3 linked regions of the Caenorhabditis elegans genome follow. The protein of the gene in region 1 interacts with the protein of each later gene in a pairwise test. Each region holds a gene or a part of one and is shown in the gene's direction. Other genes may lie near its edges.

The links. The genes of interacting proteins can lie anywhere in the genome.
Region 2: the proteins of sym-2 (region 1) and C16B8.3 interact in a two-hybrid assay, tested with the Caenorhabditis elegans proteins (one large-scale study listed by BioGRID).
Region 3: the proteins of sym-2 (region 1) and asd-2 interact in a two-hybrid assay, tested with the Caenorhabditis elegans proteins (one large-scale study listed by BioGRID).

What each region holds. Positions count from the first base shown.
Region 1 is NC_003280.10:9,185,473-9,190,347, reverse strand, and holds the start of sym-2 (RNA-binding protein sym-2), read left to right. Parts: upstream 1-2,016; coding exon 2,017-2,041; intron 2,042-3,097; coding exon 3,098-3,520; intron 3,521-4,594; coding exon 4,595-4,769; intron 4,770-4,875. Other genes in the region: twk-4 (Potassium channel domain-containing protein), read left to right, coding at 1,868-2,041, 3,098-3,128.
Region 2 is NC_003284.9:3,967,583-3,970,527, reverse strand, and holds C16B8.3 (Annexin A7), read left to right. Parts: upstream 1-1,893; coding exon 1,894-2,388; downstream 2,389-2,945.
Region 3 is NC_003279.8:6,889,087-6,893,931, reverse strand, and holds the start of asd-2 (K Homology domain-containing protein), read left to right. Parts: upstream 1-1,788; 5' UTR 1,789-1,846; intron 1,847-2,409; exon of another isoform or gene 2,410-2,486; coding exon of another isoform or gene 2,487-2,519; intron 2,520-2,565; coding exon of another isoform or gene 2,566-2,828; intron 2,829-2,872; coding exon of another isoform or gene 2,873-3,183; intron 3,184-3,228; coding exon of another isoform or gene 3,229-3,374; intron 3,375-3,420; coding exon of another isoform or gene 3,421-3,547; intron 3,548-3,597; coding exon of another isoform or gene 3,598-3,836; intron 3,837-3,879; coding exon of another isoform or gene 3,880-3,971; intron 3,972-4,017; coding exon of another isoform or gene 4,018-4,678; exon of another isoform or gene 4,679-4,730; intron 4,731-4,845. Other genes in the region: C48B6.4 (Tyrosine-protein phosphatase domain-containing protein), read right to left, coding at 2,487-2,519, 2,566-2,828, 2,873-3,183, 3,229-3,374, 3,421-3,547, 3,598-3,836, 3,880-3,971, 4,018-4,678. UniProt on the Caenorhabditis elegans protein: RNA-binding protein that binds to the 5'-NACUAAY-N(1,20)-UAAY-3' consensus sequence in pre-mRNA introns to promote alternative splicing.

The sequences.
Region 1 (4,875 bases):
TTGTATTTATAAATTATATTTTTTGAAGCAAAAAAGAGACAGTCAAGAAGTTCCAAATAATGTTGGAACTCATGGGTTACTCGTCTAAGGTATATTGTGCAATCCAAACGAATTCCACGTTCTTGCTCTGAAGCAGTTGCTCTCAATACGTTTAGTTTGGGATTTTATGAATTTTTCGTCTTTCAGGCCTTTTCTTTTCTCAGAGCACCACTAGACACGTTTGTATAAGGACTTACTAGAAGTTTGTCTTCCAAAGTTGTCTGTGTTCTGAAAAAAATGTTCTCATTTCCTAATTAATTGTCAAATTAGACGAGAAAAAAAAACTGTTTCAATCCCAATTACCCAGTTACCATTCAGCGGTTTTTCCGTCATCATCTTTTTTCATCGTCTTCTCACTTCCAAACACAGTCTCAAATCTCTTCGACGTTCATAGTATTTCACAAGTTTAGATTGTCTTCTGAAGGTCTCTGATCTTCCCTTCCGTCACGTCCTCGAAAAATGAGGTCATTTTCTGAGCGGGTGGTGATGGAAACAAGATTTGAGAAGAGACTTAGATGACAAAGAAACCAAAACAGAAGGAAGTCGAAGTGGAACACGTGGGTTCTGGATTAGAGGTTTTTGCTGAAATTCGGAGGGAAACTAAGAAGTTTTATTTTTAGAGAAGTGATTCAAGTAAAACCTTTAAAAATTGAATTCTAAAAATGTAATTGTAATGTAGTAAATGATTTTGACGATCAATTTATCAGTTGTCCTCAAAATCTGATATCGTTAAAAATTTCAATTACAGCTTCACTTTTTTCTAGGAATCGGTTTTCAAAATCATGTGACAGCTTCTCAGCTTATCAGCTGAGCTTCTCACAATTTTGTCACAAAAACAAAGTGCAAAGAATTTGGAGTGAACGAGATTAGAAGGTTAATCATTTGAGCAAATATCAAATAGTTTCCCCCATATTCTCTCTTTCTATCGAATATATTTCTTTGCATGCGTATTTTCTCAGTTTTACCTCACGCCGGTAAACACGTCTTCTATTGCCCATCTACATTTAACCTTCACCTCTAAACATCCCTATCTTAATCTTAATTCGAAGTGGTATTTGGGTTTTTGCGGGTTCTTGTTGACAGCTAGATATGTGTTGGATAGCGAACATTTGTTGGGTTTTGAGAATTGTATCGAAAAACATAGCTCATTGGATTCCGTCGATCAAAATGAACTTGAAAAAAGATCTCAATGTTAAAGTTTTGGAAATTTTTGGGCATTGAAAGTTAAAATAAAGTACCGTGATCGCTATCCCAAAAACTACTTCTTTTGATTGACCCTGAGTAATTTTAAATTGGATGTCTAAAACATAAAAAATGTTAAAGCTACCGTATTTCCTTTATAAGTTGTACTCCCCGTTTCTTTGACAACCCACAGAATAACTTATTTCACAATTTCCAAAAATAATTCTCAGAAACATTTGAAAAAAGTAATGAACCAGTTTTCGTTAGAATTTTGCCATACTGAAGCTAATGATAGGAATACGGTAGTAAAAATTCGTGGAATTCTAAATTTTCTGAAGTAAAAATGGGTCCACATTTACGGCTTGTGTTATTCGCTGCTTGTGTCTATAAAACTTAATGTTTTTTTTGTTGTTTTTTTCAAAATGATTAGAACCTTGTGTTTTTGATGTTGTCTGACTATCAATCAAAAGTTTGGAAAATCCTTAGGAAAAGCTTTGAGTCAAACCAGTCAAAGGCTTCCAAGTCGGTACAACTAGCAGCCCTAACTATATCTCGATTTCATTTTCATAAGTTTTTTTTCTTCATCCGAATGTTCTCCATCATTTTCCACACATTCTCGATATATTCATTCTCTCAATTCTTGCAGTGTTCGAAAAAGTGAGTTCGTCGCAAAAGGGGCGGTCTCATTGTCGGCTGCTGCGCGGGTGGCGGGTCGACGTCTCGACGGTCAGCAGCCTCACCAACCCCGTTGGTTTGCGTATGTACCCAAGGACGCACTGACGATTCCCTACATTGATGAATCGGCAAACGTCTCATCCAGGCAAGTTGTTTTTTTATTTAAATTAATATTTAAATATCTTAAATTGAAAACCAGCACAACAGTTGTCCGAAGTTCCAATCTCACCTCATTCCCAAGTTGCCAAAAAATTTGGCATTGAAATATACTATCTTTATCATCTTTATCGTATGAGATACTAGTACGATAGGTTAACAGGAATGAAAATACCAACTATTGATACGACATTCAGAGATAAATTAATTTGGATTTTGAATGTTCTGAATGTAGAAGTAGAACATGAGCTTAGATGATTCTAATTTTGAAGTTCTAAAAAATAAAACAGCAAATTTTTAAATTTCGAGGGACTAGAAAATTAGCTGCTTGCTTTTTTGTTACAGAAATGAGTATGATTTTCAAGTTTTTCATGGATAATTTTTGAAACCTCCAAAAACAAATTTCCAGTACAAAAAACCTCAAACTATCAAGTTAATTGGATAAGTACAATGCTTTTTCAATTGTTTGTGCATTTTCGAAAACTCTTTATCTATTCTTAAATTAAAAAATGAAACATCAAATAATTTAATTTATTTTCCTCTTCAAATAATGAGTCTGACACCCCATCTCGATTTCACTTTTATTGAAACTCTGTAATAAATTAGTAGGTCAAGCTCATCAATCCCGGAAGCACTGTGTGACAGTCGGGGGTGTCTTGTTTCTCACAATGTCTCCCACAATCGAGACACGAAGTGTTTATACTACACAGGTCAACCCAATTTTGTTTGTTTACGTAATTCTATCGAAACTGCTCCTTTTGTTTTGAAAATGACGTGGCACAATGGGCGCCGAGGTGACCATGGCGGAGGAGAAGCTTAATTAAAATCGAGGAAAATTTGAAATCTTATTTGAATTGAACTGGAAACATTTTAGGAATCCGCAATTTTCTAAAATTTTAATTTTATTATTCAAGTTTCAGATACCGTTCAATATGTTTTGCCAGACTATTATTTCAATTTTCTAGATTTTTAAAAAATTAAATATACAAAGTTTTTCAAAAATAAATTCTTTAAAAAATTCCTACCTGCAACATGATAACTTCAGAACAACGACTACTACTCATACGAGTATCTGACGGAAACTACGATGAGAACACAAAACTAGTCGTCACCTCATTCTACCCACGCCGTCAGGAGGATGCCAATAATAATAGCACATCACCATCATCGGCCTCCTCATCCGGATCTGAAATATCAACTCGTCTTGTAAATATAACTCCTGAAGATGTCGTCAAATTTTTCGACGAGCATCCAACCTCATCATATATATTCACAAAAGGTCCAGAACCAATCAGACATGTGCTCATACCATTGTTCGCGAGAAACGAACTTTGTGTTCCACATCCACTTCATCATTATTATGATATCAAACATTTGTATTACGGTAATCAAGAAGAAGATGGTATGGAACAAGAAGAAATTGAAGATGACGTAGCAATTGCCAGGGCCATTTTGGATATGGATGACGGTATGTGTTTCATAAAATCGATTTAGGCGAAAACCTATTAAAATTTGAAGTGTTCAGAGCCACTAATTTAGAAAAAAATTATGACATTAAATCACATACAGCAATGATTGCTCTTACATTGAAAATTATTTGACTATTATTAATTCAAGTAATTGATGTTATTTTTGAGTTGCATTCCTATATCCATCGTTTGTAGTTTGATTACTTGCTTCGATGATTCTGGATAAGATAGATATGGTGGTAAAAGAATGCCCTACTGCTGTGATGAATGGTTTCAAAGCGGGAAGGACCTGTCACCTTTTTGGTGTCCTTTCAAGGGCCACACCGCCCGTGTTTGTCTCTTCTTTTGCCTTCACCATTTTCTTTTTGGAATGGGGTTTTCTATTGTGTGAGATATTGAATGGGAAAAAATACAAGTGGGTGATCTTGGGATAATGACTCGGTATGGGATTCTGTGACTTTACACATAAATTATTGTTTCAAGACAAAATAAGATTTTGCGAAGAATGTTCGATGCAACATGGCTAGTAGGGATCAGGGGCATTTGAACAAAATTTCAAGTTTTTCTTAAAATATTAATGATGTCCAAATAAATTGATAGATGTTGGCAAAATTCAAATGTTCCTATGTATGTATTTTACATTAAAGGTTCTCCTGATCATCTTGTTTTCTCTACTTCTCACCTTCCCACACTTTCTCTCAATCACCATTCGGGTCTCTTGTGATATATTTTTCCATAGAATGTAAACAGTGCGTACCAGTCAAGGTGTCCGAATGGATGATGGCTCTATGGCTCACCGCGCGCACAAAGGAGGGCAAACATGTGGAAGAGACGGTCCGTTTCTATGGTAAAATATGAAGAGAAATAGGAAGGACAAGTGAAAAAACGAGGAAGTTTTGGCAATTTTTTGTGGTTAAAAATTCGGTTTTCGAACAGTTCATATGTAGTATACCTACGTAGGAAATTGATGAGATAAGGATATTGACGGGAAATAGAAAGGGATCAATTTGGGAATGAAAATTGAAATCCATCGGAATATATTACAAATTAAATAAGATCATGTTTATTTTCAGAACTTCTCGAGAAAACCCATCAATTTGTGAATATCGAATACCAGCCTGCACCGATTCTGGAAGATCAAGAAGTCGGCGCCGACGGAGACAATGTTGTATGTAGAGCCCGTGGATTACCATGGCAGGCTTCTGACCATCATGTTGCACAATTTTTTGCTGGATTGGATATTGTGCCGTGAGTGTTTTTTGATTCAAATATTGTCAGAATAAATGTGGCATTTCGGTCATTATTTTTGAATTTTATGTTCCAAAATTCGATAAATACCTGTACAAACTCCAGT
Region 2 (2,945 bases), on another chromosome or scaffold:
TTTTTATACCTTGTGTTGCTTTTCCGGTTTTGTAAATAGAGAATTGTTTTCTATAAAGTTTGTCATGAGAGATTCAAAAATGATTATTAAAATTGTATTGATTTTTTATTCAGATTCGCAAATATCAACTAAATTTTTATAATTCCAAACAATCATAAAAACACTTAACAAAATACATCAAAAAATTAAGCGGGCCGAACCGGGGATCGATCCCGGGACCTCTCGCACCCTAAGCGAGAATCATACCACTAGACCATCCGGCCACGTTTCGAGCTGATATGTATTGTAGTTTTCCTGAAATAACCATATGCATAATACATCAAAAGCATATAACCATTCGCTACAAGGAAAAAAGTAAGTGGGCCGGACCGGGGATCGATCCCGGGACCTCTCGCACCCTAAGCGAGAATCATACCACTAGACCATCCGGCCACGTCTCGTCGTGAACGCCTCTTCCTACACATGCACGCTCTCGTGAATAGCGCTCTGCGTGTGGTCGACTAGTCACAAACCAATAAACAAGTCTATCTGCGTCTCTACTAAACAAGAAAACTCTGAACGCAGTAAGCATTGACCTTGAAAATGCAGAGTATGACTTTTTCGAAAGTTTTGGTTAGGAATAGGATTTCTAACAATCAAAATTGCTAATCGTGAGAAATTGTTTTAATATAATTCAAATTACTTTTCATAATTATTATAATTTTCACAAATTGTTAAACTCGTAGAAGATGATGTAAATATGAATGTATTCCGCGATCAAATACATTAATAATACATAAAAAAATATTCAAAGCCTTTTCTTACAATTCCCCATAATTTTACTGAATGTGTCTCACGATTCGATCAAAATACAAGTTTTCAAAGTTACATGCTGAAAATGCTTAAAAGAGTAAAAGGAATGGGCCGAACCGGGGATTGAACCCGGGACCTCTCGCACCCAAAGCGAGAATCATACCACTAGACCATTCGGCCACATGTTTCCAATGTCAAAATCATGTGAAGACACTAGGTGGTCAGAGAACTGATCCGCAAACATGTTCGGAATAGAACAGGTGCGAAATGCATAGGCGCAGAAAATCTTAGCTAGGAAGTGTATTGATCGGCCTTTCTGGTTTGCAAAACGGACTGAAATAGTTATTAAAATTACACGGATTCAAGAACTAATACACAATAAAATTCATTGAAGTTGAAAAACAAAATTAAATCGTAATTGAGTTTCAAAAGTCTGTTAAAATTGTAAAAGAAACTTACAGACCCAATAGGGTTGAAAGTTGTCCGGATGGCTCAGTCTGGATGGTTGTCGCGGTCAAACTTAAGGTCAGCATTTCTTACCTCCAGACTACAGCCAGTCTTTCCTGAAAAGTCGAGCGAAGCTTGGATTTAACTTACAACAAGACCGACGGAGAGCAGACTGGCTTAATTCAAGAAAAAGTTTTGAATTTTAAAATATTGCCCTGATCTTTTCCATTCTTCCTGATAATTTTTTTGACGTTTGTATTTGATTGGCATTCCAGTTTGACATTTCGATATTATTCCTATTATAAATTCAAATGAATGTAATCTTCCTTCCCATTGAATCATCCAGAAGGTCATGTCCATGATCTATCCTCATGACTCATGGATTGCAAAGAAAGTTTCAAAATATACACTGAAAACGCCCTCGTTTCTTTTTTGTTCATTCGTTTCCATATACGTCATTGTTTGCTCTTCTCTATGGAAAAACGAGAAACTTCTTCTGACAATGCAAACTGATAACCGTATCACATTGTGAAACCTTCTCGTTTTTGAGGCAATAGGCGGATCGCAAACTAACAACTCACAATCGATCGTTTTTCAACCTTTCTGTTTGATTTTTTTCCCTTTTAAACCCCTCAACTTACACTTTTTCTTCAGATGTACGGCCGTCGCACGTGCAGTTCTTCCTCCTCAAGTTCTTCCTCTAGTGACGGTTCTTATCGTTCCCCAGTTGGCTTCGGTGTTACTCCAATTATGCCTCTTCCATATGGAGCCCCTCCACCACCAGTTGGCGCCGGAGTTGGATATGCTCCACCGCCACCAAGACCTTACGGAGCCACATATGCACCCCCACCACCTATGGGAATCGGTGCTGGAGTGAATCCTAGTGGATATGTCCAACAAGCCCCACCACTCCCAACCCAAGGATACTCGGCGTACAACCAACAACCACCTCCACTTCCACAGCAACCCTATCAAACTAACATGTATCCAAGCAACCCAGGATACTCAAGCACACCAGGCTATCCACAACAGCAGCCATATCAAATTGGAACCGGAGCCACGCCAGCCGGTATGTACCCACCACCACCAACAGGGCAATATCCTCCACCTCCACCCGGACAGTATCCAGGATATCCAAGACCATATTGAGTTAATATGTAAGCTTTTGTATACCTTTTGTACTACTAATCAATTTAATATACCATGTTTTTTCTTGCTGTTTGAATTGCCAAATAAATGTTAAAACTGTTCAATGTTCTTTTCAAAAATTTTAAGAAATACTCCAACAACTATTGGTTGGTTTGAGTGTCAGTGGCACGTGGAAATGTTTGAAAATTACCTTTAGAATAATTTTACTTGATTTGTCTATTTATGCATTCAACATTTATTGTTAACTTTCATAAATCCTATTGTTCCAATAGATGCAATATTGGACACATAATCAACTTGTCTAAATTAGTTCTGATTGTGGTTTGATATAACAGTTCGATACTATAGGTCTAGGAAATATTCGATTCGATGTCACAATATTAAACATAAATCTTCAAGTGATTTCTGTGAAAATCAAATGAATTCTATGATCTCCAGTAAGTCGGACGCTAATTCAACGAGTATTATTTGATTATTACTGGAACCCATCAAAGCAACTCTGGAACCCATTAAGAGTAAAACAAAAAATATAGCAAAGAGTCATAAGCATGTCTGCA
Region 3 (4,845 bases), on another chromosome or scaffold:
ATATCAAAAACATCTCGAGTTCCCATTCAAGTTAATCATTTTCACAAATTTAACTCAACTAGATGATCAACTCAACATCTCTCCAGATACCTGTCACTAGAAATTATATCGTTCTGTTTCCTTTCACCATTTTCTTGCCTTCCGCTTTCATTTTTTCCTCATAAAACGAATCATGGGAACCCCGAAAAGATAGTGTTGATTGAACGGAGACGGATGATGGAAAAAGAAGAAAATACGCGCGCACACATGTTGTCAGTGATGGCTTTCCAGTGATTTTCCAATTTTTATTCGCGTGTGTTCTATATTGAGCTGCTCATCGAATGGATAAGTGTTTATTCTCTAATTACATTCGGATTGTTTTCCATATTGAACATAGTTAGTTACCGAAGAGATTATCTTCTCATCAAGTCTTTGCAATTAATGATATTTTCTAGAAAGGTTTTTTGCGGCGTCCATTTTTTCAAATTCTTGACGGAAATCCGACATTTAGAGCCAATCAATTGAGACAAAGTCGGGGTCCTTTAGTGCTTCCCGATGGCCTCAAATAGCAACAACTGGTGCGGAAAAGTGGGCAAAGAAGAATAAGAGGTCACCTGGCATCGTTACAACTGATCCGCCTGTCATTCTGTCCGTCTAAATCTCTCTAATCCGTAATCTATCGTCATATAAGTTTTCCTGAGCTCATCATCATGTCTTTCACTCTTTCTCTTCGTCCACTTCTCACTCATTTAAGCTTATTCCTTCTTCCTTTGCTTCTCGTTCGAATACTAAAAGAAAGGGTGTATGAAGATGATGACTATAATTAAATCTGCACGCGGCATGTATTAATTCATATTTAGTGGTGGTAGAGGACTCATAGTTTTCTTCATTCCCTCTACCGTGCAGTGAGACATTACTTTTGGAAAAATTTATTGAACTTTACAATAAATTTGAAATATGTAAAGTTGACATATATTTATACCGATACGATAGGGAAGCCAGCTTTTACGAGCACTTTTCCAGAAAACTTGTGTTTTACATCGAAAATACATTTAGCATGAATCTTTTCGCTCAAAATATTTCTGAAAATCTGAAAATGCGAACCCTAATTAATATTTAATTCGATTCGCGGATTTGCCAAATTCTCTTGTTATTCCTCGAATTTCTGGAAAACCCACATCTCGTTTTCTTTCTCTAATATAATCTTAATTCAGATTGAGCAATTCTAAACTTTCAATTTTTCCAATAAATTTTCTTAATACTCTTTACCCTTCCAATACCCTATCCAAAATACTTTCGTGTCAATTTTTCCAAGAATTATTCATATTTTTGAGGTGCAACTCTCACCCCAGTAAGAGAAGATTTTCATTTTTACACGAGGTAGCTTATAAATATCGATGAACTTATTTTTCCAAACAATCTGAGCTTCTCAAATCGAAGCAACAAGTGATATCACATTCAAAATAATTTCTGTCAATGTGGACAATTTCAGTCAGTTATTTGAAAAATACTGAAATTTAAAAAACCTTGCCATTGGAAAATATTCATTCATTGAAAGTATGCTTTCAATATTCTTGCCTCTTATTTCTTTTAGTGCCGCATTCCAACGATGACCTTCTCATTGCAATACATTTGAAAAATGAAAGTGTATGCCGACTGCCTAGGTGTTACGTAACTTGCCATCCAGCCGATTCGGTTTCTTCTCATTTGTTTATTCGCAAATAAAACACCTTATGCTTCTTAGCTCACTTTATCTTTATAGATTTTTATTAATTCAAAAATGACTCCAGTTTTAAATGTTTAATTTCCAGCCGTATTCCTGTCTTCACGCCACCCAATCGATTCTTCAAGTGCTAGGAGCTGTCAGGTAAGCTGTTATTTCTTTTAAAAATTTGTATTTAACTGTAAATAAGTAGAAAACCATTAACTTGAGAAAAGTTCTTCCAATATCCTTTCACCAATTTTATTCTCGTGTCTCGGACAATTCTATTATTCCATCATGCAAGCAATGTACCGGAAAATTGGTGCATTCATAAGGTGCATTCATAAGGCCATCCTTCAATTTCCTTTTACAAATGTTACCTTTTATTGTTTTTATTTTCGGTCCTCTTCCCCTTTACCTACTTTGTTCGGAGCTTTATAATCCTACAGTAATCTCTTAAATCTGAACCAGTTCCCATTGAATTCTTCTTTCCTCTACTTTTTAACATCGATGAATGTGGGTAACCACGGGTGTTAATATCGGGCAATAACGAAATAGTGCAGACTTCACTGGAGAGACCGTCAGAGAAATACCGACAAAGTATGTAATTATGTTCTCCTCCTTTCACCATCACTTCGATGTATTTACTTGCAAGTTTGGAGTTTGTTCACATTTTCAATTCTCCCTCTTATTCTTTTTTAAGGTCAATGCTTTCAGTTCAAAAATAATAAAGCCATATCACTTTATTAAAATTCCATAAAAATCTAGAATACCGTATTCAATATTAACTCTTTGCGTTGTTTTCTTAGGGACCATGAATCAGAAGTTGAGGATTTGACTAAAAAGGATATGGTTATAAATTCAAATAAATGAATCATTCAAACCTGACGTGATACATGCTCATTGATTATTTCGATGTTTCTAACTTTCGAATCAGTAACCTGATTCTTGACGATTTCGTGGAAATGAGTTACATTAACAACATTTTGATACTCAGACTCTCCCATCTTGAAAATCAGAAGTTGCTGTTTCTTCAGGTTCATCGATAATTGAGTCTCAATTCCGAGTCGTTTAACAGTATAAATTCCGCATGATTTCTCACTTTCACTGCCGTAGGGAAAATAGGAAGCACAGTTTGCAGTTTCTTCTGAAATTTAATTTTTTTTTGAAATCTGAGGTTTAAAATTTTACCCGGGTCTAAATCAGATATAGTGTGAATTGTTGGAATTCCTTTATGTAGAATCATTTGCCAAAAGTCTTGTGTCTGTTCTGGATCTGGACTGTTGGCATAAATTTGAATGACATTATTCAGACGGTTTTGAGATTGAATTGGATATGAGCCGAGCGATTTCTGTAGATCAAATTCCTCGGTTTCCAGTTTAACGAGATTTTCAACTTCGTCAGCTCCGCCAATTTGTCTTGATTGGCATCCAGACAGTGAGATCTGAGATGATGAAGAGGTCAGGAAACCCAAATAGCAAGATTTTTCGTAGAGAGCCTTTCTATAAAGAATGTTCGATTTTCATTTCACGGTATCGAAATCAAACCTAGCGTTGGCCGCCTGAATAGGTTGTGTCACGAAATCTGGAACACTGGATCCTTTCTTTTCAATGAGATATGAATTACGCTCCACAAGTCTATCCCGGAGAGGACTGAACTGCATTGGACCATGAAAAAGCCAGTGTTGAGTTGGCTTTAAAAATATAAGATTTATTATTTATTTTTTGATAAAAGCTTACCATATCATTCAAAAGATCTTTTCGAAGATTCTCAAACTCTTCATCTTCTTTTGTATAATCTTTTGATGGATATTCTTGAATATCTCGTTGACAGTGCCAAACAACATACCAACCATAATTTTCTGGTCTAAAAGTTAAAATCAAATCAGTATTAGTAATCTGAACACATTAACTTACACTAGTTTGCATCTTACTGCAAACTTTTGAATTTTGCAATGTCGATATGGATATTCTGGATCTGTCAATCGTCGTACAATTATCTGTCCACATTTGAGAATCTCTTGTTTATCGTCAGGAATATATTGCTTACAGTTGGCCCCTCGTTTCTCCAAAAACTTTCCAAACATTGTAATCAAGCTGATGCGATCTTTATGGCACTGAGTCCAAAAATCTTGTGTTCGAGTTGCGTCAGGGCCCTGAAAGAGTTATAGTGCATTTATTAATTATAATTTCACTTACCAGACATTCGAATTCCAACCCATGACCATTGATTGAAGACTCTACCATGTCAAACTCGTAGCTATTCAGAACTTGCTGACAGCAGGTTTTTTCTGAAATAAAATAACGATACTTGCGATGAAATAAACTGAAACTCACTATCTCTTTCATAATCCTCCTTTGTTGGAATCAATAAATTGGGCTCCGAGTCTTTGTGATTTTCATATTTTTCAAGAAGAGCATTCATATCATACTTTGGCCATCCATTTTCATCATCACTCAAATCAGTTAATAAATCATCAGCTTTACATTCAAGTTCATCAATTTCCTTCAAAATCTCTTCTTTTGGTTTTGATTTACCATAATTCCCAGGAATTCTTCCATGTTCGAGTTCGAAAAGTTCCTTTGGTGTAAGCATGGTTTTACGCTGTTTCAAAAATTCTCGATAGTTTTCCGAGCATACAAGTTCCCTTATATTGGAATGAGTTACATCAATTCCCTGATTGGCAAGATATAACAATGGATCAAATATCGACTCAACACTATCATCACTGGATTGTATATCAAGATGTTCATCGTCAACGCCACTTCCGGTAACATCCACCTCACTTCCAGAAGACACACGTGAGACTTCGGAGACATCACGAGAGATTCTTGAATCGGGAATCGATTCTTCGCATGTTTCTGGAATGACCGGCACTTCCAATATGAAATCTTGAGACTTTGCAACAACGGCGGGACCAGATTCAATATCGACTTTTGTATAATATCGATCCGCTGGTGGCGAGATTTTCGCCTTTTTTGATGATTTTGCACCCATTTTGTGCAAGTTGGAAGACTTCAAAACTCGTAGAAGTTTAAAATGATTGTCTTCGCAAGATTTTATAATCGTGGTTTATTGATCTTCCCTTGTGTACGTTGAAATCAATAATTATGTTTTCAAATGTTTTCACGTCAAAAATGGATTCGTTTTCAAGAATGTTCATA